Linked DNA regions of Lonchura striata. The protein of the gene in region 1 purifies or fractionates together with the protein of each later gene. This does not show direct contact. Links are inferred from orthologs where the notes say so. Each region holds a gene or a part of one and is shown on either strand. Other genes may lie near its edges.

The links.
Region 2: the proteins of HIP1R (region 1) and PICALM fractionate together in Homo sapiens (co-fractionation; 3 studies listed by BioGRID and IntAct, with this or other methods). This does not show direct contact. The link is inferred for Lonchura striata from reciprocal best matches to the Homo sapiens genes HIP1R and PICALM.

Annotation. Positions count from the first base shown.
Region 1 is NC_134620.1:12,761,148-12,776,099, forward strand, and holds the start of HIP1R (huntingtin-interacting protein 1-related protein), read left to right. Parts: upstream 1-8,905; 5' UTR 8,906-9,027; coding exon 9,028-9,120; intron 9,121-14,012; coding exon 14,013-14,076; intron 14,077-14,472; coding exon 14,473-14,615; intron 14,616-14,916; coding exon 14,917-14,952. UniProt on the Homo sapiens protein: Component of clathrin-coated pits and vesicles, that may link the endocytic machinery to the actin cytoskeleton. Binds 3-phosphoinositides (via ENTH domain).
Region 2 is NC_134604.1:34,888,467-34,903,841, forward strand, and holds the start of PICALM (phosphatidylinositol-binding clathrin assembly protein), read left to right. Parts: upstream 1-8,598; 5' UTR 8,599-8,778; coding exon 8,779-8,908; intron 8,909-15,375. UniProt on the Homo sapiens protein: Cytoplasmic adapter protein that plays a critical role in clathrin-mediated endocytosis which is important in processes such as internalization of cell receptors, synaptic transmission or removal of apoptotic cells.

The DNA.
Region 1 (14,952 bases):
GGAACAAATTCAACCTGGGCAGTGCAGCTAGAAGATATCCTCCAGTTAGGGGGGAGCTGTGGGATTTGCTGCTGAGCTCTCCAGTTTTCTTGATGCCCACATTTGGTCCTGGGGCCCTGCTAATTGGAGATGGATTGACTCAGTGCAAATCTCTGACTCTCTGCTCTCCAGCCTCTGCTGACTCGGATTTGGCAGGCAATAAATCCTCACCCCTAAATGGGAGGAAGGCAGGAGCATTGCTTCTGTGAAGGGATTAATGGCAGAGACCAGCACAACATTCCTCCTGGGACTTGGATCTGGATCCTCCAGTTTTCCATCGCTGCTTTCAGAGTGCTGATGATGTAGCTTGTGTTTAGGGAAGGGTGCTGGCACCTCCCTGTCATCCCAGCAAATATTTTTGCCATGAGTTCCTGAGTTCTGGAACAGCCAACAAGGAGGCTGTTAACAGTCAAATGCCTTCCCCAATGGCAGAGGGGATTGTGAAATCCCAGAGTGCAGGAATCATTTCTGTGCTCTGACTTGGTGACTTCATTTATGTTGGGCCAACGTTTGCTGCCTTTGGATTTTTATCTCAATTCTCATTTTACAGATGGTGCATCAGCAGGTACTTGTTGAGTCTGCCTGGGCTGGACTAAACCACCCATTCCTGAGCCACTTCCCTGCCTCAAAATCAAACCTGTGTGTGTTTTCCAGGACAGGCCCTGCTCATCTCCTCACATCCCTGTTCCAGGCTGCTTGTTCCCTCACACCTCCACAGAACCTTTCCTTGTCAGAAACACAGTTGTGAGCTTTTCTCTCTTAAAAGAGCCTGTTTTATCCCAGTGTTTTATGGGAGAAGTGAAATGGGACACAGCAGACACTCATGAGCTGGTAACTCTCATGAGGGCTTTTTCCTAGATTGAATGTCAGTTAAAAATACACCTATTTTTAACAGTCTTGTCAGGTATGGAATGCATTGTCACACCAAAATAAATATCTAAAGAGCATCTACTGAAATGCCATCAATTCAAAAAGGATATTTGTTATAAAATACACATTTTTTTTTCATTATTTGCCAGTCCAGGCAGGGCTAGCAGTCTGCTTCTGTTGTGGTGATGAATATGGTTTGCCCCTACATTTAAAAATAAATAAACTCGAGCCTCTTTGGGAAAGCTCTCCTGTGATCTCTGAACTGAGATGGTGACTGTAAAACACTGTGAAATTCCCTTGAAAGGTACACCTACAAATATTAATTTGCCTAATGGTTGATTAGAACCAGAAAGGGATTTGAGGGTGAGAGGAGAGCGAGTAGCAGAGTATTGGGAAGAGCAAAGTTTTCCCTTTGTGTGCTCCTTGCAAGGTTAAATACACACTCAAGCACATGGTCATGGAGCTGGTTGAGACTGGTTGAATGTCAAACCCTTGTGCTCAGAGGATGAAGCTGATCTAGGGAAGCTGTTAAACATGGCAATGCTCTGAGGAACAGGGTAACCTCCCAGGCTTCTTGGTTTCCTTGGCTCCGGGCCCAAAGTTATTTATGTTGTGCCATGATTTTCCCTTGAAAGTTTAAAAAGGATGGTGATGCTGCTTCTGCCAATGTCTTGATTTTTTTTTTTTAACAGTGAAGAAATCGTGAATCTGAATTCCCTCTGCTTGACTTCTCCTCCCTTGACATCCACTAAGACCAACATGACCCAAAGTTCTGGGAAATTCTCTGATGAAGATTCCCCTCTGGACATCAGTGACCTGGCAGTGACTAAACCAGCAAAGAGATACTGCATGAACACAGTCAGTATCTTATTGCACAGTGTCCTTGACTGATTTTGAGGGGAATTATGAGGAATTAAGACTGATGATAGGAATGCAAATGCCTCCAGGCATGGAAGAACTGGGTACTCAAATGATGAGACAGCAGGCTTATGGCAAAGGTGATAACATGCATTTTTTCAAAATAGCTCCTTGTTGCCGCAGTAGGTCTTGGACAACATAAATATGAGTTTTTTTAAAGTGAATAAGACTTTGGAATGAAAAGCTTGAGGAAAATGGATGCTGGCTAATTGGTAATTCCACTAAATATCTGGGTACACGTGGATGCAGTTATCAGAAGCTATTGGACATTGTTTCTTTCCTGTTCTACTTGGTTTTCCCTCTGTCTCATGACTTTATTCTCTCCTTTTATCCCTTAAGTACTTCTCTTGTGAGTGGTTAATATACCCACATGTGGAAATCTGTTTAAAATGGCATTAGGAAAGAGCTCTGTGTTTATTAGGAACACCAGCAGTTTGAGTCTGTTACTTTGCAGTATTTTGAACAGAAACATTTCAAAATGCTGATTCTTGGTGTGTTATAATTCTTTGAAATCCTCCAAAAAAAAAAAAAAAAAGATCCTTCCATAACTTTGGCTCCTTCTCTGTGTCCTGCAGGGCACCAGTTCCCTGTTCTGGAAGCTGGAGCGCTCGTTGGCCCAGTCCCGACAGATGCTGACTGATCTGGAGCTCAGCCTTCTCCACACAAGCATTCCCAAGACCAACAACATGAGTAAGGTACAGATTGCTCTCCCAGAACAAGGCTGAGGCCTCAGGAATACTGATTGGGAACATCCTTTCCCTTATGCTTGGCTTGCATTGCATTAGCAAAGCGTGAGGAGGATATTGGTTGTGAAGAGACAATTCCTGCTTGCCTTAGTGCTTGAATTTTTTATAGGATTCTGTTTGGCTGCTCAAGGTCATGACAGGATTTGACTCCTGCTTGTGTCTGAACAGATGGAAGGCAGAAGTCATTTTGGGGCAAGCTGCAGGAGGTCTAGAAAAAAGTGAACACTGATCTTTTTTGACTTGAAGCAAATTAGATGATTTCTCAGGCTCAGCACACACTCACTGCTTTGCTGTCCCAGAGACTCGCAGTCAGAACTGGTTTATTATTTTATTCATGGAAAGGAGGGCAGTGTAGGGAATATATAGGATACTTTGGGTGTGAATTTAAACCAGAAACTCAGCTTAAATAAAGGCAGAGTTCTTGTGTGTTAGTAGTTTTAGCTCCTTCATAGCAGGATCAGAGAATATATTCAGTGGTCAAAGAAAAGAACCTGTATGTAGCTGTCATGGCAGTTTATTTTATGAGCACAAGTGCTGATAAAGTTCCTGTTGAGTATTTGGGCAGCACAAGTAATCAGAGAAAGGGTCACTTGTTTAGTGGGTAAATATCCATAAGAATTTCTACCTTGTTTGACAAGGACATTGTACCTTTTGTCCCTAGCAATGAGCACACTTGTACTGGGGTATATCCCAAAGGGAGGATTTAGGCTCCTGGTTTCAGAGCAGTGCTGAACCCTCATCTTCTTCCTCACACATTTCACCTCCCTCTAAAAAGTTGCACTTCTTTTAGCCTTGGATGAACCTGACCAGAACAACGTTGCTGTAAGGAACAGACAAAGCCATTTTTATAACATTCAGAACCATAAACCCTTCGCTATGCTGGGCCTCACTGTAAAGGTTGTGTGCCAGCGTTTGCATAAACTGAAAGGATATTCTGTTCAGAAGTTCCTCTGCAGGATTTCATTCAGTGGCAAAGACAGCAGCAGTTTAGTCTTTTGCAAAGGCTCCTGAGTAGGAGGATTCCTGAAAAGCTCCCTGCACACAGTGCTTGCTTGTGGCTCTTGCCCAGCCCCATCAGCTGTCTGGCTCCTGCTCACTGCTTGGCACGTCACAGCACAGCTCAGCTCCTCCGTCTGCCCATGACTCTGCTTTAGGATCTGATGCTGCATTTTTGAGCTTGGAAATTGGCTTCTCCTTCAGTTTTAGTGGATATAAAATGAAGGAAACTCCTGTGTAGTGGCAGGAGCAAATCCTGAGCCACATTTGTGGAATCTTTGATCTACTTTCAGAGAAGTTCCGGGCAAAAACTCGTCAAGCATGTTTGAGTTAATCTATGTATAACCAGGCCAGCTAACCTGTGCTTAAAACCAGGCTTACCTGGGGCTGTTTTAAACTGAGCTTTAGAACAGAATAAATATGTGATACAGCCCTTAAAATTTAATCAGGGGGAAGTGGTACATGTTGGATTCTGTGCCCTGCTGGGACAGGGAGGAGAAGGGGGAATTAAGAGCTGTACCCCTGCTGCTCACCAGCTTGAACCTGGCAGCTCTGGAAATTTTATTCTCTGAGTCCTTTGATTTCCATGTAGTATTTTTACATTACAATAGAAACAACAGAACTTGCAGGAACTCTTCACAGAAGCCAGTTACCTGCTGCAGAAGAAAGAGATGCTAAGCTTCCTTTTTTTTTCTCTGTGATGTTCCCTGAGCATGGAAGTGTTTTCAGCTTGATCTTTTTTTGTTTGCTTCCCTCTTTATAAATGCATCTGCAATATTAATACACTTTATGGATTTTTGAGATGGGCCTGGCACAGGATTCTAAGTGCATTTCCAATAAAAGTCCTGTGAGTACTGTAACAGCAAACAGATATTAAGTCAGCAAGTAGTTCCTTTAGTCAAACAATTAAACTCTTGTGAAGTGTGTTCCTCATCCTTGGGGCAGTCAGATCTCACAGCTTCATTCCCCAGTACCTGTGCTCTCCTTATTGTAGTTAAAACCCTTCTGTGTGTTACAGATAACAGGATCAAGAATGTGAACATTGCTGAATGAGAGATTGGGAAGTTTTTTCCAGTGCCAAGGCCAAGGGCTGTTTTAGGATACTGTTCTTGGGCTCAGAGCCCCAAAAATAAAATGTATTGAATAGAGCTGTTTCAGAATATCCAAAGCAGCCTTGCCCACTGCAGATTGTTTTTTTTCTTTCTGAGTCAGGAAATTTCTCACTCTCTGATTATTTGTTCTCCTATTGTGGATTGGATGCTTGCAGTAGGCACCACCTTGTCTGGTTCTGAGGACAAAAGAGTAACCAGATATGGTTAAAATCCTGAACAGCACACAAAACTGAATAAGAACCAGCAACAATGAGGAGAAAAACTGGCAAAAAAAGAGAAACCTCTCAGTGCTGACACAGCCCAGGCTCGTGCCTGCAAAGGGAGGTTACCCCAGAGCCAGCTGGGCTGTGACACTGTGTGACTCCAGTTGTGGATCAGCCTCCAGCCCATGGGGAGCTGCTGCTCAGTTCTCTCTTGGGTATTCCAGCTGCAGTCCCTGAGCTGTTTGTGCCCTGGGGAGTCAGGCTGGCTGGCTGCACTCATGTTCTGCTGGTTCTGCATTAAGCCTGGAGTCACTGAGACTCCTCTGTGAGCCCGTGGGGACTGTGGAGTGCAGCTGATGGGGCACCTGGGGGAGATGGATGCTGAGCAGCTCGAGTGCCAAACTTTCCTCTGCTGTAACGTTCCTGTGCACAGAGAACTCTTCCTTTCCTGAAAAGAGCCCTGAGGTAAAAGCAGACAGAGGTTTTATAGGTTGGAGCCAGCACTGTGACTTGCATCCTGAAACCACTGATGTTACAAAGCTTCAGGAGCAAATCCCCAAAAGTGCTGAGCCCCGTGCTGAGGCAGCAGAGTGGGGAGAGCACGCTGAGCCTACAGAAATAATCACATTTGCCTCAAGTGAGAAAGAGCTGGTGGAACAAACATGCCACAATCCACTGCAGATCCATGACAAGAATGAGTGGTTCTCCAAGTCACTGGCTAATACATAATTTTCATTTTCTTTCTGTGTTAAAAAGCAACGAATCACTGTGATCAGTTAGATCTGAAGCAGAGCAGGCTCAGAAATAACCAAACATTTGTGCAGTTTCATATACAGAAGTGATTGAATTGATTTTGGTTGTGTTTGTTTGGTTTTAAATTGCTTTGAAACTCATTTGAGGGCAGGTGCACTGGCAAACATTAGGGCAATTTCCTCCCTAGCTGCCAGTAATTTAGCTATTCTCATCAGTCAGTTGTTTTGCCTCTAAGAGAGAGGTTGGAGGGGTGGGGGGAGTTGAAGAACTCAGGAGGAGAGAAGTTAGGAAAAGGCTATTTTCTTTTTTGGACACAGCAGCATGTGCCAGTGCTCATAAACGGTGACTCAGTGGCTGGCCTGGGGCACAAAGATCACTCCTTTCCTCAAAGCCAACTGGAAAGGTTTTATTTCCCAGCACCCCAGTGGTGGCCCTGAGACTGTTGCCTTTCTGTGAAGTACTTTGTTTACCTTTTCCTCTTTATAGTTTTACTCCATGTTCTTACTCTGTTTGCAGTGTGAAAATTTGTGTAATAAATTCACGTAAGTGTGATTGCTTCAGATATTTCAGAGGAAATGTTCCTGCTTTTTTCATTAAAATCTTTTCCTTTTTCTTCAGAGGAAAAAGTGTTTCCAACACAGAGGTAATACTGAGGACTGAAGATCATTGACCCAGCAGCTACAACAGAAAGTTACCTCATATTTTTCCTGTGGTTCCTCCTGAGTGTTTGAAAGACTCACAAGTGGCAAGAAGATGTGACTCTGCAAGAATGCATTTTATCTTGAAATAAAACACAGAATTACACCAAGATTAACAAAGCTATTTTTACAGCTGAGAGCTCAGGTTAAACACTAGCTTATTTTTTAAGAATCTGAAGTGTGTAATTGTTACAACATAGGAACTATTTTTCTTTTTTTTTTTTTATGGTGGCTCAGAAATATTTATAGACTATGACACAGCCAAGCAATCTCCTTTTTTTTTTTTAGCACATTGTTTTTGTTCTGGATTTCTTGCCTTGTAGAGAGAGATGAATAATGTTTATAGGAAGTTCCTAATTAGTGTTGTAAGCAGGAACTGCCTCCGATGTTGCTGAAATGGGAGAACTGTCACCCTCAAGGTGGGCAGAACATCTTTCCACACTCAGGAGCTGGTTTTCCAACAAAAGTCTATGGGATCAGGTGTGTATGGCCTCTGTTTGCACTGTAGAGGTAGCCAAGTATGATGTAACCTTTTTTTAGCATTTAAACTGGATTTATGTTTGCTGATTGGGCAAGATGTGCTGTTATCACAATTTGAACTTCTTTTTTAATGTAGAGATCAAATAATCTGATAAAGGTGATACTTTGCTGTGTCTCTCTTGCCCATTTAACACATTTAGCACTTGATTTCTGACATTTCTCAGCAGACATGAGTGGGCTGCCCAGTCCTGTGTAGATTTGGGAGCACTTTGGGACACCAGTGCCCCTCCCACAGCCCTGTGCCAGCATTTTTCCTGCTGGGGGGAGCCAAGGGTGGGAGTTTCTGCTCCATCCAGTGCCACCAATTATTGCTGAGAAACACAACATTCCGTGGAGTCTCCTTGTTAACTCTTTCATTTCATTTTCTGCTTTCTCTTTAATTACTCCAGTGACAGCCTTTCCTGCAGGTATTAATGGCCCTAGAATTAGGTGGCCAGTTCTGATGAGAGCTGCTGTTCTCCAGACTCTTTCCCTGCCTGCTCACCAGCATTACCCACAGAGGGAAGCTCAGCTGCTCCAGCTCTTTCCAAGTTTCCTCAAGCCTTTACAGTGCATTTATTCCTCTACCTGCATAGAACCTTCTCAGGCTCCATCCTCGCAATCTCCTGCTGTGGGTATGACAAGAATTCCCCCTAAAAAGCCAGTGATGACAATGCCATGATGCTCACCCTGAAGCTGTCCAGCAGCTACACAGAGAAATTGGTGCAACTTCCAAGCAGCAGCTGCATTTAAATGGTTTTGAGGTTATTGGATCAACTCACTGAGTTTAAACCCCTGGAGAGTTTAAAATGATGACTTTAAGATCAATATAGAAAACTGAGCTCAAGCGATGCATCAAGGATCTGCAGAGCCTTAGGATTTTGTGTCGGGGCTGCCCTGGATTTGTAGAATGGGAAGAAGGGGAATAACTGTTAATTTATTCAGCACTAAGTGACTTAAAGCCCAACTACATTATTGACCACACTCTGGTGCTCAAATGGAAACGCTTCAAACTCGGTGCCTTAATTCTGGAAGCAGCTCAAATACTCCAGGGAGCCCTTTGCTATTGTATCCTTGGTTTGAATTATTATTTAAAGACAACAAAGCTCCTGTTCAGCCACGGCCTTTCCGCAGGGTGGGTGCGAGCTCCGGTCATTGACTTTGGTAACGGGAATCGGTGCTGGAGCTCCGGTGCGAGTGCAGTGGGAGAGGGGTGAAATGGGCGCTGAGAAGGGACGGTCGCGCTGGCGGTGACCGCTGTTCCTGGTGCTTCCTGAGCTGGGCAAGCACCTCGGTGCCTGGTGCCTCGGGGGGCTGCTAAGGGACGTGTCCCTCGCTCCGTGTCCCCTCTCCGTGTTCGTGTCCCCTCCCCGTGTCCCCTCTCTGCCCGTGTCCCCTCTCCGTGTCCGTGTCCCCTCCCCGTGTCTCCTCTCTGTCCGTGTCCCCTCCCCGTGTCCCCTCTCCGTGTCCGTGTCCCTTCCCCGTGTCTGCTCTCCGTGTCCCCTCTCTGTCCGTGTCCCCTCTCCGTGTCCGTGTCCCTTCCCCGTGTCTGCTCTCCGTGTCCCCTCTCTGTCCGTGTCCCCTCTCCGTGTCCGTGTCCCTTCCCCGTGTCTGCTCTCCGTGTCCCCTCTCTGTCCGTGTCCCCTCTCCGTGTCCCCTCTCCGTGTCCCCTCCCCGTGTCCCCTCTCTGCCCGTGTCCCCTCTCTGTGTCCGTGTCCCCTCTCTGTCCGTGTCCCCTCTCCGTGTCCCTTCCCCGTGTCCGTGTCCCCTCCCCGTGTCCCCTCTCTGTCCGTGTCCCCTCCCCGTGTCCGTGTCCCCTCCCCGTGTCCGTGTCCCCTCCCCGTGTCCGTGTCCCCTCTCTGTCCGTGTCCCCTCCCCGTGTCCCCTCTCCGTGTCCTCTCTCTGTCCGTGTCTCCTCTCTCTGCCCGTGTCCCCTCTCTGCCCGTGTCCCCCCGGGGCTCTCGGTCCCACCTGCCCGCGGGGGGAGCGGCGCTGCAGTTCCGAGCGTGGCCGCTGGGGGCGCGGCGGCGCGCGGCGCAGTGCGCGGCCGGGAGGGGCGGGGGCGGGCGGCGCCGGTCGCTCCTGCCCGGAGCGCGGAGCCCCGAGCGCGGGCACCGGAGCCTGGATACCGGAGCCTGGCTACCGGAGCGGGGAGCTCCCAGCGCGGCCCACCATGAACAGCATCAAGAGCGTGCCGGCGCGGGTGCTGAGCCGCCGCGGCGGGCACAGCCTGGAGGCGGAGCGGGAACAGTTCGACAAGAGCCAGGCAAGGACAGCGGGAGGGGGCGGCGGGGCCGCGGGACCGGCCGCGGTTACGGTCCCGGTTTTAGTCCCGGTCCTGTTCCCGGCTCGGGGACGGGGCAGGCCGGCCCTTTCCGCGGGGCATCGCGTCGGGGCGCGCTGAGCGCGGGGGTTTCTCGGGCGATGGGATGAGACGGGATGGGGGGCGCAGGTCCCGGCCGCGCTCCGGGGAAGCCCCGGTGGGGCAGCGGGGCCGCCGCACCTCTGCCCGTCCCCGTGTCCGCCCGTCCGTCCCCGGTGCCGCCGCCGCGCGCTCCCCCTCCCCCACCTGCGCCGCCGCTTCCTCCCGGCGCGGCCGCGGGACGGTCCCGCGTGGGCACCCGCCCGTCCCGCCGCCCCGCGCCCGTCCCCGGGCCGCGGCCCCGCCGTGCGCCGCCGCTCCCGCGGGCAGCCGGGCCCCGCGCACCCCGCGCCTCCCGGGCCTTACCGCAGGTCAACACGGCCGGCAGCACACGGGGAAAGTTTTGCGGTGCTGGCGGCAGCGCGGCCGAGCCCGGGGACTCCGCGGCAGCCCCGCGCCCCGGGAATGGGCATCTCCGCATCCCTGCCTAGCCCCGGCCCCACCGGCACCGGGGGATGTTTCGCACCGGAGTTGGATCCACCCCTACCCCGCGGCTCCGGGTCACCCGCGGGTCACCCTGCGGGGATCGGGGTGTTTGGACCCACGGACGGTGGCAGAGTGGAAACAAAGCCCAAAGGCGTTCGTGCTCCATCGTGTCCGGCTTGGCGGGGGTGTCCGTGCTCCTGTAGACCCCACGGGGTGGGCAATGCTCGGGCACTGATGGGGCCGGCATATGGCTGGGGGGAAACGAACTACTCAGACAGCGTGGGCAGGGATGGGCAGAGGGATGGACAGAGTGACGGGCTCGCTGCTGCCCCAGCAAAAATAACAGTGCCCTGCCGCATGCCTCCTCTGACCCCTCTGCTTTTGCAGGCTGTGCATTCATCGCAGATGTTTTCCCCTCTGCCCCTTTGCTTTGCGGTTCCTTCCTCAGGCCCTGGGCTGGTTTGGCCCCGGAGAGCGCCAGTGAAGGCAGGTGGGAATTTCAGGCCTCGCAGGGTCACGGTGCTGGGTAGGAAACGGAGCTTTTGCCGTGTCTGGGGAGCAACACGAGAAAACCGGCAATTCCGGTTCCCTCTGGACGCGTCTCCTTCAGTCGGCCCGCTGGGCACCGCTGGTGAACGCTGCCCCGTGCCCAGCACGAACGGGGCCCCGCTCCCCCCGGCCTTCCAGGGCACTTGGGGCTTTTCACTGGGATTTGTGCTCTGGAGATCCGCGCAGTCACAGGGATGCTGTGAGCGGAGATGTGGACACGGAAAAGAGGTGGTTGCTCGCTGGCTGATGGTCACATTCCCTGCCCAGAACTGCTAAAAACTGTCCTAAAGGAGCTTTATCCTGGTGTGGTTTCCTGTAGTGGTGCTTCGGTGAGAGCAGAACTGTTCAGTGTCAGAACGTGGGTATTGATCTGCCTTTTACCTCTAATTATAGCAGCTGCCCAGTTGGCCGCCAGTCACCTCTGTGTCACGGGGGTGCTGGTGGCATGTCCCCTCCTTGTCTCTGTGTCACGGGGGTGCTGGTGGCACGTCCCCTCCTTGTCTCTGTGTCACGGGGGTGCTGGTGGCACGTCCCCTCCTTGTCTCTGTGTCACAGGGGTGCTGCTGGCACGTCACCTCCTTGTCTCTGTGTCACAGGGGTGCTGCTGGCACATCCCCTCTGTTGCCTGAGGATTCTGTACCAGAGTCCAGAGCCCCATCACCTTTTCCCCTGTGAGGGCTCAGGTGATGTCTGTGGTTACAGACAGGAGTTGCTGGCCCTGCTGTGATCCCAGGTCCTTGTGGGTGACGTGAAGGTCACCTGCTTTCCCTGAAAATGCTTTTCCATATTTTGTGTCAGGGTGATTTAATGTTCCCCTCGGAGAAGCCGTGCATGGGAAGTAGGAAATCATCCCACAGCAGGCGCTTGCTCGGCAGCCTTGCAGGAGGAAAAACTTGCCCGTTTTTGCTTTTCTTAAAGAAAAAGGTTAAAAATCCAATGAGCTCTGGAACCTGCAGGATTGCATTGTGTGTGACTGCCAAGTGGTGTTTTCCTGGTGTAATTTGGAAAGGAGCAGCATTAGGAAGGGAACTCTGGAGTTCATAGCTCAGCTGTTCTGACAGCTCTCGGACTGCCTGGCCAGGGAGGTTTCCAGCTGCCAAATAATCCCGTGCTGGAACCCGGCATCCACTGCCCGGAGGGGATTGGGCCCCGGTGGGATGCCGGGGCTCTGGGGAGCCGTGGGCGGGAGGATCAGCCCTAATTAAAAGCAGCCAGGAATGAAAGGGTGGATGTTAAACTGCGCTCCTTCATTTGGGCGCTTTGATCCCGGCTTTAGTCAGCGGCTTGGTACGTGCGGGCTGTGAGCAAAGCTGGGGCTGCAGCCCTGTGGGATCCCACAGCCCACGGCCCGGCAGGTTTTGGGCTTGGCTCCTCACCCAGTTGGCCTGCCAGTGGTGGGGAACAGTCCACAGGTTGCATCAAAGTTTTGGCCAGGCTGATTGTGCACCTGCAGTGACAGCCAGGACCTGCCCATCTCCGGACGTGCCAGCGGTGTCCCAAGAGGTTGGGTCAAGGGTGAATCTCCCCGTTTTGGAGCCATCCTCCACAGCCTGGCTTTGCCAGACAGCCAGCAGGAGCATCCTGTCAGCACACGTGTGCCAGGCTGCAGCATTGCCCCATGCTGGTGCCACCAATCCCATTTTCCTGGATCTCCTGGCAAGCTTGATGCTTGGAGGCAGGGAAAGCACACGTGGGCTGCCCAGAGGGACTGGCATTGGTTTGGTGCCACCATGGTTTTTTTGGGACCATGCTGGACCCATGCTTGTGGTGGTGCTGTGGGTGGGCTGGGGCTGACCCTGCATGTCCATGTGCTGGACATGAAATGGCTCAATGAAACTTCTGCACTGAATCCCCAAGGATGAAACCAACCTCTCCAGCAGCTCCTGGGCTGAATTTTGGCTGGTCAGGCTATCAGTGAGACTAAGGGCAGTAAATGCAATAAAACCACCACTGCCACTGGGAATTACAGCTCTGTTCTGGGACAGACCAGCAGGGTCTCAGCTCAATGAGCAGCTGAGGTCCTGTCCCTGGAGATAGGGGACAACATTTCCTTTCCTGGGGGTCTGCCCATCTCACACTTTGACCCTTCTGGCTGCGCCTCCTCCAACCCCCGTGGGGTTCAGGTTCCATGGATGGGTTGGGATGAGCGTGATGGGCTGGGACAGGCCTGTCTTAGGGCAGGCAGTAAAACTTCCAGTTTGGGAGGTGTGTCTGCCCTTCTCCCTCTATGCAAAACACCTCAGGAAAGATGCTGTAACTCCTTCAGCAGCTCTTCACTATAAATGCATTTCCAAATCCTTCCTTGCCTGGTCCAGGATAAACCATCCTTTCTGTCAGCATCCCGTGGGAGGTGCTGGCATCCCTGAGGACCTGTGGCACATCTCTCTGGCCAAGCTGCCATCGAGGGCACAGCCTCTGCCAGCTCCAGGCTTTTGGGTGGCTGTGAGGGCACTTTTGGAGAGGCAGCTGTGCTGCAAGTGCCTGTTCCTGGGCACTCCAGGCTCGTTAACCTTTGGGGATAAGAGGATTACAGCAAGTCACCGGCTTAACTCCACTGCTGCTTTACGGCCCCACATGGCGGGGTAACACCGGGACTCTCCTGGTGCAGGAAAGGCAAAGCAGCTGGACTCAGCCTTTTGGGACAGGTTCACTCTTTGGGAACATTCAGAGTTTTGCTGCTGTCATGGTCAGTTTGTGGGTAAGCTGTTCTGGACTCTTTTGGGGTGAGTTTGGTGCATGGACACCTTTGACGTTGTCTCTTCGGTGTTGGGTTCCTCCTGCATAAGTCAGGAGCACTCGATAACTCGGGGTCAGGTTCCTCCTCCTACAGGAAAGCACTTCCATTTCAGAGGTGTCCCTGGACAAGCAGCCTTGTGGAAGCAGGTGCTTTCCTGGGCAGGTAGATAGGATTTTTATGAGGTTTTAGGGCTGTGGAGCTGCAGGGAGGGACCGAGTTGCTCTTCCAGCACAAGTGCTGCCAGCGAGGCGCCTTCCTGCCTTCCCAGCTGGGACCTTTTTCCTCTGCTGGTGACAGAGGGCTCATGGACACAGGCACAGCCCAAGCACTCCTGCGAGGGTGAAGCAGCTCAGCTGAGTCTGAGGAGGAGGAAAAAGATCCTCATCAAATACAGCAACTTGGATTTGCAGCCCATCAACACGTGGGGGATGCAACCGACCCCACTCTGGGGTCATCTTCTGGAATAAATTCCTAATTTAAAGTCTGCTGTGATCAAACACATCAAAACATAGATAATCCTCTTCTGATAATCACATTGCTCTGGATTTTTGCTCCATCAAGATGGGCATTGAGGCTGCCACTCCCTTCTTGCTTGGGGGCTGCTTTTCCCCATGTGCTGTTTGCACACAGCAACATCCTCAGAAGAACCCAAACCACTCCCCCGTGGTTCAAAGGCTCCTTGTGATTACACAAACAACCCTGGAATTTGGCATCTCACTATTGTGCTTTAATGTTCCCCAGGCACGGCGCTGAGTTCAGGCTGCAAAAATGCAAAAATTGGTTTCCTGGGACAGGGACAGCCGGGAGCACCAACAGCAGTGGTCAGATCCTGCTGGGGATGGGGGCTTTAATGGATGTTTTGTTTGTGGATAAAAAGGCCTATTCTGATGTGTTAAAAATGACTTTGAGGTGACAAATGTGTTCTAAAATTCAGGGTATTCCCCAGGATCATTAGCATGTCAGGGTGTGGGGTAGCCATGAGGATCACACCGTGTCTGACAGCCACTCTCCCCTCCTCTTGCAGGCCATCAGCATCAGCAAAGCCATAAACACACAGGAAGCACCAGTGAAGGAGAAACATGCCCGCCGTATCCTTTTCCTTGGCTCCCAGGACAGCACAGAGGAGTTTGGGATTTGGGGGTGTCACCCCTGATGCTGGAGCCACAGGAGATTTGGGAGACAAAGATCCGTGCTGGGGGCTGGCATCACGGAAGTTCATCCATCAGTGAAAAGGCAGACGAGCAGTGCAATAAAATTGCATTTCTTTGGCAGTAAAATGCAGAGAGCCCCATTGTGCCCTCAGCAGGGGGAGGTGCACCCAAAAATGACAACTGGGGGTTTTGTTTGGGGGTGCAGCGCTGTGCCGGTGATCCCTGTGCTCATGGGGCACCCAGCGTCCCCTTTTCAGTGAAAGCTGAACAGGAACAGTCCCCAGCCTGTCCCCTGCTCTGTGTGTGTCCAGTTGGCCTTGACTGCCCTGGAAGGGATCATCCTGGGCACACACCACGAGAAGGGAGCGTTCACCTTCTGGTCCTACGCCATCGGGCTGCCCCTGCCCAGCAGTGCCATCCTCAGCTGGAAGTTCTGCCACGTCCTGCACAAGGTCCTGCGTGATGGCCACCCCAACGTGAGTGTCCCCTCTGTGTGTCCCTCCTGCTTCGTTCCCAGGGGGAAGTTCTGGCTCTTGCCAGCATCCCTCGGCACAGGGAGTGGGATCCCTTCCCTACCCCAGCCACCTTCCCCAGGCGCTCTGTTGTCTCACACCTTTGAAACTCCCCTGTGTAAATCCCCAACCTTTGGGTGCTGAGGGAAGTCTGGAACTTCTCCCAGAGCTGGAGTGATGTAAGGGGCTGGATCCCTCCTCTTCCCCAGCATCAGGGCAGAAAACCAGCCCCACTGTGCCACATCCTTCCCTTTTGTGTCGCCAGGTTCTCCAGGACTGCCAGAGGTACCGCAGCAACATC
Region 2 (15,375 bases), on another chromosome or scaffold:
CAAGTATTACATTTTTTCATTCCCCACAAAATCAGGACAAACTGTACATCTCCTGCTGTGTCTGAAGCTGATTTGGCTAACTTTCAGCTATGTTAATTAAAGAATTCAGCAATCCTATTTTAATCTGATTTTAAAATACTACAGATACACTGCTGGCAATTTTGCTTGTTTTGATGCAAAATTACTTTAATACAAAAAAAGTTCAGTAGTTCACTTTATGCTATTAATTTTCACATCTATGCACAGATACCTGCTATAATGCTAAGAGGTGTCAATCAATTACAAAGATTTATCAAATCCACTTTCAGGATAAGGTTTAGGAATACAGATTTGGATAAACGTCACTAAACAGAACATCATGCAACAGAGGAGGAGGTAAAAAAAAGAATACAAATGAGAAGGTTCAAAGGTCTTTCTTGAGCAAAACTGACTGCAATATCAAAAAGTTCTGGTTTGAAAAGAATGTTTCTAATGTTTTTGAAAACTTGGGTTAGCTATTTAATGAACTATTTACTAAATAAAGTTTATTAGCAATAATCGTTTCAGCCAATGGACTGTAAAATATTGCAGTGATTGCTATAATGTTCTAAGAGTAAAATGGTTTTGTTAATTTGAAAATAAAAGTATTGAGATCAGGCAGGCACTAAATTTCCAGCACCAACTCTCTACTCTTCACCTATACAATTTATTTCTATTCTGCATTAGTATTGCTGGCCATACTCATAGATTAGGGGGACAAAACTTACTCTGTTTGAAGTCAGTGGGCATTTTGCCATAGATTCAATAGGAACAGAATTTGGCATCTGAAAGTATACTGCCATGTGATGAAATATGAACCTGCAAAGTATTTGATTTGTGGTTTTACCTGCCAAGAAAACATTACTGTTTTCTTTGAAACTGTTTTTAGTAAAATATTCTTTTAGCATCTGATCTTTCAGGTCAACAAGATGTTGCACAGACTATGTATCTTCTCTTTTCTCCAATTGTGTTATTAATCTGAATAAGTTCAATGCATCTGATATCCATTTTTGCTCTTTATCATTCACTGTTTTTTGGTTGTGAGGGTTAAAAAACACAGGTAACCAGAATCATTATCATCTTGCTTTTTTAGTTCTTCCTGGGTTTCAGCTGCTATTGCGATGCTCAAAGTCTTTAGGAATGCACAGGCTCTCTTGAAGAATATTAGAAGTGAATACCAACACATGCAGGGCTACCGTTTGAATTGAGAAAATCCCAGTGCAATTTGAGAGACTGTAATACTTTCTTTTGGATCATTACTCCTTCTTTACTCCTCTGGTAGCAAGAACTGCCAACATGTCTGGATTTCCATTGAAAAGGGATGCTGTATGAAAGGCAAAGGTAGGCTTAATTGATTACTGAAAGCCCATGGAAGTGGTACAAAGAGAAGAAGCGGGAAGGTGAATGCATCAGAAACACAAATCTTCTACTACCCTTTATTCCTGCCTTCAGAAAAAAAGTGACCATTAAAAACTGTGGTGATTTTGTGATCCATAGAAAGCGAGTTTGTTGGCCTGCAGCCAGTTGCCAGTGAAGAGATCCACATCAAACAGCTTTCAACACAGTGGGTGACTTATGATCTGAAGTCACAGAAGTTTGTTGCCAGATTCACTTGTAGCTTTAAACCAATACAGATTTATTGGGAGGTTACCAAGGAAATTTTACCCTTCTTGTAACCCCTCTCCCACTCCACTGGTGTAGTGCTAGCAATTCCCTTGTTCCCGGAGGGGATAACATCTCATCCCCTTTCTGGCCCCTCAACACTAGCCACAAGCAGTGGGGAGTTGTAGAGAAAGCACAGCGTGAGTCAGGACTGTGAGTATGCATTCTTCTGCATTTGGCCCTCCACTGTGGGATCTCCTCAAGGCCATTGAGTTGTCAGAAAGGTGGGTGCCTGACATAGAGTTGTGAAGGGAGTGCTATGTCCCTGATATTAACATCTGACCTGCATCTGTCCCTGGTTTCAGTGGAGAAGACAAGCAAAATCCAATCACTTCTAGACAAGGTTTGTGGTGGAAGCATGTCATCAAGACACTGTGCCACTGCTACTAAGAAAGTATTGCCTTTTGAGTTCTAAGTAATACAACTAGGAAACACAGGATGACAAGAAGGCGAGACCATTCATTCTGATATTACTCACAGTTCTTTGCTTCTCAGATCCTGAAAAAGAAAGCAATTTTAAATTGCCATTAACTTATTTTTTATGCATTTCCTTAATTTTACTAAATAGAAAGCACTTTCATTTTTGTACTTGTGTGTACTGGAATGAATTAGGACAAATCCTTTATGGATTTTTAGATTTAGAATAGCTTATACACCATCAGAATGTTAGGAGGAATTTATTTAGTGTTCTTTTCAGTGCAGTAGTTTGATTTAATCAGCATGAAGTCTTGCCCACATGTAAATGCAGTCACTGACCCCTGAAGCACAGAGCCAAACACCGATAGCCTGACTCACTCCAGTGGGCAAGATTCAGATTTCACATAAAGACCAGAGAGTAGAACTATCCATACAGAGCTTGAAATCAACTCATTGGCATAAATGGATTTATTTGCTTCAGGAAGAAAACCAGGATTTACTTTTACTGCACAGACCTGATAATGAGAATACTTTTCATATGTAGGCTTTCTTCTGGGTGAGAAGTCCCATTCAAGTCAGCATTGGCAAGCCCCAGCTATTTACTCTCTATAGTTGGCATTGCCAGCATCAACATTTTTGTTTCAGCTCCACATCAAAATTCATGTGGGTGTAAAGCTTTCCCAGACACAGAGCATGAGCACATGATCCTCAACATTAATGAGGGTATTGATTAAGCTCTGCTGCACATATATGTGCTAAAGACTGTGAGTCTAAGCACCAATTTTAGCTTGGCAGCAATGGCTGTTCCACTGATACACTGCCAGTCAGTTTGCTTATATCTTTCCTTAAAAATATTCCTTTGGGCTGGAGTGTGCTCTGCTTGCTTTTGGCTCAAAGGTGACTGAAGGAAATGATAGGGGCTGCTTCCAAGTTACAGGAGCCCAAAAGGAATGCAGTTCCTCCTGTACTTGCCCTGCTGTCTTGGTGTTTGTGAACTGGCAGGGGAGTGAAATGAATGACAGTGCCCTCTCAAAGGTGCCCAGAGAAGGATTCTTATCAAATGCTGTCTCCTGCCAAGTCTCACAAACACTGCCAGCCTGCAATGATGGGGAGGAGCATTTGGCAACAAGGCCCTAGGCTTTCGACATCAAACTAGGAAGAAGGGATGAAGTGTCACTAGCAGGGATGGGGCCACTTTTTTTTCCTGTATGACAGATGGCCCACAGAAATTTTGGGGAAGTGTATAGGTGCACTTACCATGCTGGTGAAGCTGTGTTGTAAGGTTTGCTTTTCCTTATTCAGTATCTGATTGAGCTACTGTGAGAGTTCCCATTGCCAAGAAAGGATGTGTAAAAAACCACAGTAGGAAAGAGCAGCAGCAGGAGTGCATTAAGAATGTTTGCTGATGGGCAGTGCATGGCAGGTGGAGAAGACAGTAGGCCTCTTGTTCTTCAGAGGTGTCAGTGTTTGACACACCCACTGGGAAGTGTGAACAAAATGTAAGTAAGCTTGTTTCCTTTCTCTCTCACACTCAAAGACATTTACTATGTGCATTTGTCAGCCAAGTAGGAATCCTGCTTATACCCTAAATGACACAATCAATCTTGCAGTGTGCAAGTTTCATCTCAGGACAAGGAGAGAAAAGTGTTAGAACACACAAGAGGATTCGGAAGCATCATATTTGTTGTCCACGTCTACTTAGATACTCTCATGAAGCCTGGGAGCTCCTACACAGATATCCTGCTCCTAAGTGAATAAAATTAGTTCTATTGCTCCCCTCCTGTGCAATGGCACTGACTTATTTTTGTCCCTTCCTATGTGTTTTTCTCATGTCAAAATTACATTAGCTTTTGGACAGCTGCTTTCTTTATTGACAAAGTCAGCTTCTTTTCAGGGAACAGCACTGCAAGGGACATTGACTACTAGATAACTGGAGCTGCATGAGAAGGTAACACAAGCTGCAGAGCTTAGAATACTGTGTATGAGGAAGGAAATTGGATATTTGCCTTACAGAGAGAGGCACAAAATAGGAATGTAAAAGGAACAAAAGAAACATGAAAGCTGTCACTATTTCCAGAAAGAGGGAAGAAAATTGGGAAAGAGGTCTCTCATTCACTATGGACTTGAGGAAGTTGTCTTTGCAAGGAGTGAGTTGGAATAGATGTGAGGATAGTGTGGAGCTTGAAGAAACACAGGTGATACAAGAGGAATGCAGAGCAGGAAATGAATGTTCCTGTTTCAGTGGGGAAATTCTGGATAGACTTAGGGTGGGTAATTGGATGAACAAGAGTGATGTATTTGAAACAGGAATTAACATGAAATAATGATCATTAGGAAAGGAAGGAGCTGGATACAAGCGAAGCAAAAGGAAAACCTGTGAAGAAGCACATTTGGAGTAGTGAAGAGGTATATCACTTTAATAAGTATCCTAATTACACTGTGATTCATTACTATTTTGAAATATTCCAGATTGCAGTGATCAGTGATCTGGTTGCCTCATTTCCTTCTAGCCAAGCAATGTGGACACCTTGCCTATCTCTGTTGGCTTCTGGTCTTGTTGGCAGCATGAATAAGTAACAGGAACCATACTCCTGGAATACTTAATTTCATTGTGCCACTAACAAGTGTTATTTTAACCATAATTTTTCTTTTTTCTATTCTACTTTTCTCTATCTTCTTAGAGGCATTACTGGAAAAAGTTCATTATTGTCTATAAAATTATTTTATTAAGTTGCTATGGTGATACAATTGATATTGAATTCTTACTATAGTCACAGAAAACCAACATTGGGTAAATCTTTGCCGAACTCTTTGAACATGGTTTTGAAATTAATACATTGGAGTTAAACTGGCACAGTTCTACTAGGCTGGGCAAAATCAGGCTACTCAAAAAGTGCATCACTAACTGTAGATTTCTGCATATATTCAGGGAGTGGCCTGGTTCTAGCTGTGCAGCTGCTCTGGAGTTCTCTGTTGCCAGAGGTGCACAAGCAATGGACCGTATAGTGGCCACAGACATGGACAAATGTCATAGAGAGCTACACTGGGGGAGCTGGTGTTTTCTATTTCCTGCAGTCTATTCTACATCTTATGTCTACTCAAACAGATGCTGAGTTCCTGGAGCGGACATCAAAACCACCTTCCCTGAAACCTGGGGAAAATACTATAACCCTTAAGAGCAAATGAAACCGCAGTGATCCTTTAAATAGGTCATGTGGAACATCTGGATTGTAACTTATTTCCAAATAATTTATACAACAGTGATAGGGCATTTCCCAACCTTACATAGGTGGCTTTGCTACCTTTGCTTTTCCACCCCATTGCCTCCTTGCTCCATCACATTTCCCTTCAGTTGTTCCATCTCTATTTCAAACTTATTCTTTCTTTTCAACTTTTCTTCACTAGACCCCTTAGCTTCCCAAATTATGGTTGATAGGGTTTTTTTGTTGTTGTTAGCAGATATGGCCTCAAATCCTTGGTAATGAGTCTGCAACAGTTTATCAGCATATGTTCAGCTTTGTTCCTCACTAGTTTTCTGGCTCAGATGGGCTGATTTCTAATAGACCTGAAATTCAGCCAAAACACCTGGCTTAGATCTGAAGCTAATTAGCAGTGCCCCCAAACCATGGATCTCCTAGTAGTGCTTCCATGAAGCAAGGAGGAAGAGCATGGCTGCCAGCAGCACTGGGAACACCAAATCACCCTGGTGGAATGCAGGCATTACAGTGTGACAGGCACCTCACCGAGTGGAAATGACATTGTTGCAAGAAAATGATATACATAATAAATTACAGAGGTCATGCTGAGGCTAGGTTTTCAGTACTATACAATACACATGGGAAGAAAAATATCTGATAGCTTGTTTGTCCTTCCAGGATAGCTGAATATCAGCTAAATACCATCAATATCGGAGAGCTTGTGAATGCATGATACAGCATTTTCACAAGAGTTAGATCCAGATTCTGGAAGAACTTTTCACAAGAGAAAAGAATGTTGTTTAGGTTTACTGCTTCACTAAACATAGGACTCCTGTGTCTGGAGTAGTTTCTCTTTAGATATGTACTCCTTCTCCTTCCTCTTTTCATTCTCAAGCACACCCAGGCACACAAACAAAAACAAATGAGTTATAAGCTAATCAAACTTGTTTTCTCCAGGTTGGAAAGGAAAAGAGATAATATTTTGATTTCAATTTCCAAATCTTTGGGAGGTGCTCAGATATTATCTATCATAGTGCTTCAAGCTTCTTGCTGCAATGGCATTGTCTCCCAAGCAATTAAAAACCAACAAATAATTATCAAAATACATTTTGCTATCAGTTCTTTCATCCATTTCTGCTTATGCACAAGCAGAATTTTTAACTGTGGAGTAAAACTGTGAGTTTTCTGTGAACAAGAACAGCTGTAAAAAAGGCAAAATTTATTTTTAGTTTTGGACCTTTAAGATCGAGGTCACTTTTTGTTCCCTTAGGAATCAGATATTTTGTCCAAATCTGGTCTCAGTAACTCCTAGAGTCACAAGCTTCCTCTGTTTGGATAGTTTCACTGCTCTTGGAGAAAGTGACAGGCATCATCTAAGAACAACTTGATGGAGCCTAACTTACTCAGGCCAATTCAATGGAATTTCTCCAGATAGCAGCTTGAAATGGAATGTTGAAATCCAGGCCCTAGCTGAAGTTAGTATTAAAAATACCAATGTGTGTTGCTCTATCAGTAGCCTATAGCAGCCCCTGTGCTTCCACAGTGTGAAGCTTTATGCTAAAGCTGTCTTAAGCCAGAGTCTGCTGCTGTATACATCAGTGATTTATTTCTCCAGCATGGATGTCCCCATGTCCTCAGCATGGGAGTCCTAAAGCAGGTCAGGAGGAGCCAAGAAGTGCAAATACAATATCCTCAAAGACCTTGGCATTATAAAGAAAGCAAATTCTACATCTTGCTAGCCTTCCTTACACACACACAAGTGGCACTATTTGGGTTCAGCTTTCACCAGATGTTCTTCTTCTGACACCAATTTTCCTTATACATTATAAACAGATAATCCTACTTACACATCCTGTCAGGCAGACAGAGCTGAGTGTCATTTGTATACTCCTTCTCTTTAAACTGCCCAATAAATATTTCAGTGGCTGCATGGATGGGGGACACTTACAAGACAGCTTCTCAGGAGTCTCTTCTGGGAGAGGAAGAACTTTGTGGAATCCTGTGCTATTCACTGCTGTGTGTTTGGGGAGGAGGAGAAGAGTCCTGCTGCAAGGGGCAATGGAGGGCGCAGATAGCTGGAGGCTGGGGCGGCGCTTGGGCAGCGGGAGCTAAGGATGCCCAGCAGCCGCTCCTCACCGTCTGTCGCTGGGATACGCGTAGCCGGGTTTGCAGCTGTAGGTACCAGGCTGCGAGAAGGCACCTTAAGGAAGTTTCTGATTTTTATGAACAAAACCCAAGTAACTTCGCACAAATCCCAGGCTGCCAAGGGCAGAGCCACCGAGTAAGTTCAAGAAGCTGGCTAGCAGAACAGTGGGAGGCAAATCGCGAAAGATCTGAAAACCTCCAGTATTTTTATCCTAGCCATGATGTGCATTCGAGAAGTTTTTGGGGAGCTTACAAATAAAAACAACTCCGAAGAGAAGCCCGATCGCAGCAACCAGCCGGCCCCGAAACCTTGGCTGCCTAAGAACAGATTATTTTTTTCCCTTTGAGCTTTCCCTAGCCTTAGGTGACACCAAAGGAGCTTCCACAAAACCTTTGCAGGCTGAGAAATACAAAATTACTTCCTTCAGGGGCGGAGACACCCCCCACTCCCCCACTCGCTCCACGGGGACTTTACCCGGCTCTGAACCCGAACAGGGGCGCACCGAATCTCCCGAGCGGAGATCCCAGAGGCACGGGAGTCTCCGCAGAGGGAAGGGCGGCCAGGGGCTGAGTGGGCGGCCAGGGGTGAGGAGGCTGCCCAGGGGCTGAGGAGGCTGCCCGGGGCTGAGGAGGCTGCCCGGGGCTGAGGGGGCTGCCCGGGGGTGAGGGGGCTGCCCGGGGGTGAGGGGGCTGCCCGGGGCTGAGGGGGCTGCCCGGGGGTGAGGAGGCTGCCCAGGGGCTGAGGAGGCTGCCCGGGGCTGAGGAGGCTGCCCGGGGGTGAGGGGGCTGCCCGGGGGTGAGGAGGCTGCCCAGGGGCTGAGGGGGCTGCCAAGGGGCTGAGGGGGCTGCCCGGGGGTGAGGGGGCTGCCCGGGGCTGAGGGGGCTGCCCGGGGGCGCCGCGGGAAGCGCTCCCTGCCTGAGGAGCGGCTCCCGCCCCCTGCGCGCTCCCGCGGCGCTGAGGGGGGCGGCGCGTGCCGCGCGGGCGGGGCGGCGGGCGGTCACGTGACGCGGGAGAGGCCCGGCAAGGCCCGAGGAGGAGCTCGGCCGCCGCCATTTTCCTGCGGCGCCCAGTGCGTGTCCCTGGCCCCGGCCGGGCGGGCGCGCAGGGGGAGGGGACGGCGGCCGGGGGAGGGGGGCGGGAGGAGGAGGAGGAGGAGGAGGAGGAGGAGGGGTCCCTGCTCGGGTGACAGGTCCGTCCCTGAGGGCGGAGCGGGGGCCGCCTGCGGCACGGCGGGGTGAGGAGCCCGCGCAGCTCCATCCCCCCGGCGACTCCTCCCGTCCCGGCCCCTGAGGAGGGAGCGGAGCCGCGCTCGGTTCCAGCGCCGCCAGCGAACCCGCCATGTCCGGCCAAAGCCTCACCGACCGCATCACGGCGGCGCAGCACAGCGTGACCGGCTCGGCCGTCTCGAAAACCGTGTGCAAGGCCACGACCCACGAGGTGATGGGCCCCAAGAAGAAGCACCTGGACTGTGAGTACCGGCGGCAGCGGCGGCCTGAGGGATCTCCCCGAGCGTCCCGCCGAGGAGCGGGATTGCCCGGCCTGCCCCGGGGTCCGCTGTGGGGCTGCTGCCCATCCCACCGGCCTCGTGGGGACGGGAAGCCTCCTCAGGCGGAGGAGCTCGGGGTTTCAGCATAGGGCATAGCCTGAGGGCGGGGGCGTAGGGTCGGGGACGTGGCGATGGAGAGCTTGGGAGAGGCTGTTCAGTATATCTGCTCTCCAAAAGGGGCCTTGCCAGTCTTCTTTATGCATAGAGTCCCGGACAACGTGAGCTCCTGAAGGACAGGACCTGCCCCATACCCCTTTCTTAGGGGGAGAGAGAGAACCACGGAGGCCAGGCAGAGGAATGGGCTGCAATTTCCTCACTAATTGGTCTCATTTGCGTCGTGCTAGGGCAGCACTCCCCCATTCTCTAGAGGAGGTGCAGGAGTTTCAGGAAGGAATAGCTCATCAGTTATCTTAATTATTTTCCAGGTAATCTACCAGGAGGGAAAAAAAAAAAAAAAAAAAACAACCTTCTTTAACAATCATGTAAATCTTCCATGGAGAAAAATATGTGAAACGACTGAGGGGAAAATCTCTCTGTGAGGATGTTCTTAGTCTTCTTTTTAGTCTGTCTCATTCACTTGGGAAGATGAATCTAAGGGGACTTCTTTAGAACTTCAGTAAAGCTGGATCCAATAGTCTTAGCATACCATACAGGGTCTAGCCATTTTTCAGCTTCTATTAAGAACAGATCAAAGGTGGAAAGGCTCAAAAGGTTTTCTATCACCTGTGATTATGAAGAGAATGATGAGCATCAAAGTTCACACTAGCGTTTCTTCCACTAAGCTGTGAAGTTGCAGGACTGAGGAAGTTATTGGTCTGAAAATCTGATTGTCTTGCATCTGTTTATTCTAGGCCTTTTAAGGATGGCCCCCTCTGCCCCCTCCCTTTCACTTTCCCAAATACATATTAAAGATATTGGTGAGATCTGTGTGTCTATGCCTTCTATATGTGTGCTTGCTCCCTTCCTCACACCCACGTCTGCAGGAGAAGGTTGAGTCTTCATGTGTCTTGAGTTTGTGCCTCCTGAATTGTTCTGTATCCAAATGAAAACACCAGATGATAGTAGTAGGATTAATTGTACTGTGGTTCTTTCTTCTTTCCACCAAAATGTGTGCATGTTAAAGGTTTAAGAAATTCTTGTTCTGCAAGTACCTGGGAGCAAAGTAATTAATTTTTTACGGTAGCCTCAGAATTCATTTTTTAGCTGCCTCTCTCTTTTTTGGTATTCCCTCATTCATTACATCTTTTGGTGGAAGATGATAGTAACTGAGTGGTCTTGTTAGATTTGGTTAACTAAGGGAGTCAGAACACTGAGGAAATCTTTGGGCTTTGAGTAACTTCTTGGCAGGTAGAGAAAACACCTTGTCATATGGCGTATGTATGAAATCGTGATGTTACTGGATTTCACACACAAGTGAGGCTTTCTAGAAAACAAACTTTGCCAGGTTTAGCCTGTAGTTGTGCTAAAAGTACAGTTTCAATACTAAGGCTTTTAGGAGCTGAATTATTTTGTGGTATAAGCTTTGTTGAAAAGAATATGAAGATGGTCAGAAAACTGCTCTTCCGGTGGGGATGTGTGTGTGTGTAAAAGGGTGATATTCTGAACAGGGCTGCTGGGAGACAACCTAATGGAGACCTCCAGGGTGCTGCTGCAGAAGAGTGCCTGGACTTCCTTAGAAAGCTATCTGGTAGTTGCTGGATAAGAAGAGCAATTCTGTGTTTCCTTTTTCTACTCCAGACTGTCAGGAGTCTGTTAGTTTCTGCCTCTCTCTGAGAATATTTATCAAAGCCAAGCAAACTTGATTTTTTAAGTAGTCCCTCTTTTTAGTGGCTAAAATAGATCATGGCTAGATGTTTTGTACCCTAATATGTTTGTTAAAAGTCTCTGTTCTGGCATCAGGAAATGACACACAGTCTTGTATTTTGAACTTTTTCTTTGTTCATACCCTTTATGGTTGTATGCTTTAAAATAAATATTTTTTACACAAGCTGTGACTCAAGCCCCACTTCTCAACTGTTTGTACATATCTTCCTTTCACAACAAACAGTTTAACTTGGTAAGGCCTATGAAGTGACGGCTCATTGTAAATTACAATTAATATACCTGTCTTCATAGGCAACATGCTGCCTTAATATTTTTCTGATTATTGCTTATTGTGATAATACAGGTAAACTTGCTATAGGTTGTGTCCTGGTGAGTGGATAAGTTGAGTTTTCCCATACTGCATTAGTTTTGTAGCATGTTCTGTGACCATGACATACATTCTTGTTAGTTGATTTCTTGTACAGATCTCAAGATTTCCGAGTCCTCTTACTGACATTCTTTCTTCATTAGGCTTGAGCTATCACAAACAGATTTAACTAGCTCAGCCTCAAGTTAACTCATAAAAATGGAGGGAAGTCTGACATAGGAATATAAGTTCATGAGTATCTGTTCTTATTTATCTTGCTCCTGATAGTGTGTGGAGTTTGAAGTGCTCTCCATCCTAGATTACCTCTCTTTTGCTCAGCGATGGTTATCTTTATCAAGGAAGTTAAAAAGGAATTTTTTTCCTTAGCTCATGGTGGTTAAAATGTAATATACTTCAAAGAATGTTTTCTCTCCCATTACAAAGCTTAGTTGTTTGGTTTGAGGGAGAAAGACTTCTAATTTACAAGTGGATATGGCTTGTGATAGGTAGTAACATCATCAAGGCTATATACTTGAATCCATGATACTGTTTTTTTCTTCAGTTTTGAAGGTCCAGCCTTAGAACTTAGAGCTGGGATAAGAATTCTGTTTGGTAGTCTGAATGCTGCTTTTGTTGTGATGGATTACTTGTTTTACAGAAATCAAGTTTAGTAGTCTTGGAACCCTCGAAGAATAGTTCATTAATTTCTTTTATGGAAAACCTAGTTTCACTAGGACTTTGTCCCAGTTTTTACACCTATCTTAGCAGTGGGAGCTCTAAACTGCTTTGTGGTTTTAACTTGTATGTGGAGATTGGTACAACCCTTTCTTTCTCGTTAGTTTTTTTGTCCTCACATTGAGTGTTGGATAGTGATGCTAAGAACAAGTGCTTTAGGTTGTTCGAGTATAAATGGTTCTGGGAGACTTGTTGCTAGATTTCACTCCTTCTTTTCATGATTCTGAGAGGATGGTGTGCTTGTGTTTGTGTGGTGGATAATTAATATTAGGAATACCTGAAGTTAATGCCTAGTAAATTTCACTGGGTTGGTTTTGTGAAGCTGTTGTAGCAGCGATTGCTCAGTAGCTTAAAAATGTTTGTGTACATGTGTGTGTTGTGGAGTGGACTTAAAACAGCTTTGTTGTGATAGACATTTAGGGTTGGCCTCTTCAATGAGTGTGGCATAGTAGCCCTATCTGCTTGTAGCTAATGGAGTAGCCCTCTTTAAATGAGAATGTGGACGGATGACTTGGAAGGAAGTTGTGATGCTGTAATTACCCATTCTGAACAGGAAATATCTCTATAATTAAGCCAGAGTGTAATTTCCTTGATTTCTTATTGTGAAAGAAAATGTGTATTTTTAAGGAAGACAGTAAGCCAGAACCCTGCCCTGTGTTGGGTAGGTGTCTGTGAGAAGCTGTGTAAGTGAAAGTAAACTTGAAGGAGCTTGTTGGGAACTTGATTCCTAATACACTAATGTTAGCTGCTTTGGTTTTGTCTAGAGGCTACTACTAGGATAGAGAAAGGCCCAGCTAAAGACTTGCTCCATGTCTGTGCTGAGGACAGGTTCTGTTTCAAGCTGAGATGGTATAAAGAGGGTAACTTGTAGAACTGAGGGACAAGGATCATTGCTTTTCCCTGGATCACCCGAGATTTGTAGAAAAGCTGGGAAAACCACCATTGTAATGGTTCACTTGCCTTTACATGCTGAAGTGTAACTGGGTGATGAGGTGAATTAACTCCTAGTTCTGTGGATACTTTTGTGTTCTCCAGTAGAAACAGAAACACATTCCTTTTATGGTATTTTTGTGCTTCAACAAACTCATGTTTTGTCTCTGGTTTTGGCAGAATCACCTGAAGTTTCTTGCAGCTTTGCTTCCCTTTCTGTAATTGACTTAAATTTCTGGAGGCAATCCATTATTATTTTTGCTTAGAAATATTCTTTGTAACTGTAATTATTTCAAATACAGATAATTGCATTATTGCAACTTTCTTTTGAAGTATTCAGTTTTCTCTCTGAGTCTTTTCTCTGATTCCTTCATAGTTTCTTTCTTTAGCCAACTTTCTTATTTTTTACTGGAATTCCTTTGGAATATTTGCTCATGGCTTTTAGTAGAGTATGAGAACTATCATACTCCTCCTGTCTGCCAGAGGGACAATTTTCTACTACAGCTGCTCATTTGCAGAAAGACTAGCTATGTAGTTGTGCAGCTGTTGTTTTATTTTACTTAGCCTGAAGCAATATTCTGCTTCAGATGAAGTAAGAGGCAGGAGCTAAGGAGGAGAAGCTGTAGGACACCTGCAATCAGCTTCCTGTGAATCTTCATACCACTATTGTTTCCCAGTAGCAGTGATTATTCAGGTCTCATGTAACTTTGGGCTATAGCCCTAGTTGAGATTTTTTTTTAACGATATTTTTTTTTTAATGGTGCTGTCGTCTCTTGCATTTACGAAAAGGGACGCTTAGGAGAAGCACAGACATGGAGCAAGTCTTTTGCAGTTCACCCTGTGACCTAATGATCTATTTCAGTCTTCAGTTCCTAATCTTAAAAACAGTTTTTGATTTGTAGATGTGAAAGTTTTAATTTGTCCCTAATGACTTGTCTCACAAAGTAATGGTAATTTGCATAATAATACAAGAGATGACTTATCCAATATGGAATTTAAAGCTTCCTGACTTTTGCATTTGTTGCCTTATGTAAAGTACATGATTTGTTGATGATGGTAGAATTCTGGGAAAGTTCACTTAGAAAACGTTACTGATGTCTCACTCCTTCTGGAAAATGCAACATTATTTCTGAAGCTGAGACTCCTTTTGTATTTGAAAGCTTGATTTATTAAACAGCTTTCTTAAATTGAAATTTCTAACTACTTTTAAAACAATTCCAGTCAAAACATCTCGCACATCAATTAATGCTTTAAAAATAACACATAGTAGCTTTACTGCTGGTGGGATATGTCCACTTCTTTGTAAACTGAAGTAGCTGTTTCTCAAGCATGAGACTAGAAATCAGGTAAGAATTGTAAACGACTTGTGTATAAAGTGTTGAAGCCCTCTACTGGGGCAATCGTTTAATATTTTCACGTAGTTTGCAATACAAGTTTAAAGCAATGGTCTTAAGTATGTGTTCTTTTGAGTAGTTTAGCAAACTCTTCTGCTGCAAACATTGCCTTGTGTTCATGAGTATATGAATTTAACCATTTAGATTTTCTGTGGGTGAAAGTATTAACTCTGGGAGTACTTTCAATTTGGAGCTTAATGTTATCTTGCAAAGACTTGGGTATGAGAGATTTTATTACTGATTGTATCTGCAGCTGATTAAAAGTAACCAACAAGTAAGTAACAAAAAAGAATGCAATCAAGTGGAAAGAAGCTTGTGTTGCTATAAAATTATCTGGCTTGGTGTTTTCCTTGCTCTTCTGGCCATTTTCTCCATTATGAAGTATGATCATGAGTGGGCAGATTATGAACGCTTAGTAACTTCAAAGTGACTGTATCCTTCAAAACTTGAAGAAATATTGTTCTACTTTGTATTTCACCCCTAGTTTATATCAGAGCTTTATCAATTGGCTGGTAGTTTCTAAACTTAAAAATAATTTTAGTAAATTCAGTGCTACAGTCTGGTAGTCACAAATCTCTTAATGGTAAATCCAAGTTATGAGTAATATGTCACAAATTGGGTTTTGGGATTTTAGAAATTAGGAACTAAGCTGTATTTAACTGTGAAAATAACTTAATGAAGCTAAGCATTTCATACAGATTTAGCAAATACACTGGATTCTCTGATTGTGACTAAAAAATCTCCTGTGCTATTTTGCTAAAGGAGCTTTATTAAAGTAATGCTTATCTGGATAATTTGCAATATTATACAAGGGTAAATCAGGCTTTTATAAGTATTACCTCAGAAGAGATGGTGTAAATGAACAAGATCTACATCAAAATTTGACTTGGGCAAGTTAATTCACAGAGTGAAGCATAAGAGAATTTACTGGAGTGAACAGTGGTAGCATAAAGAAAAATCTTGAGATTTTTGTGCAGGTCATGACATAAGTAGTCTAAATTAAAATAAATTTTAAAACCTCCCAAAGTAGGGATTATACTCATTCTGAGCTCTCCTATGTACTTTCATTCATACCGATGTTAATTTATTCAGTTCTCCTCATCAACTCCTTTTTTCCTTTTCTCCTGAAGAGACACTTTTGAAATCTTTACTTGCTGTCC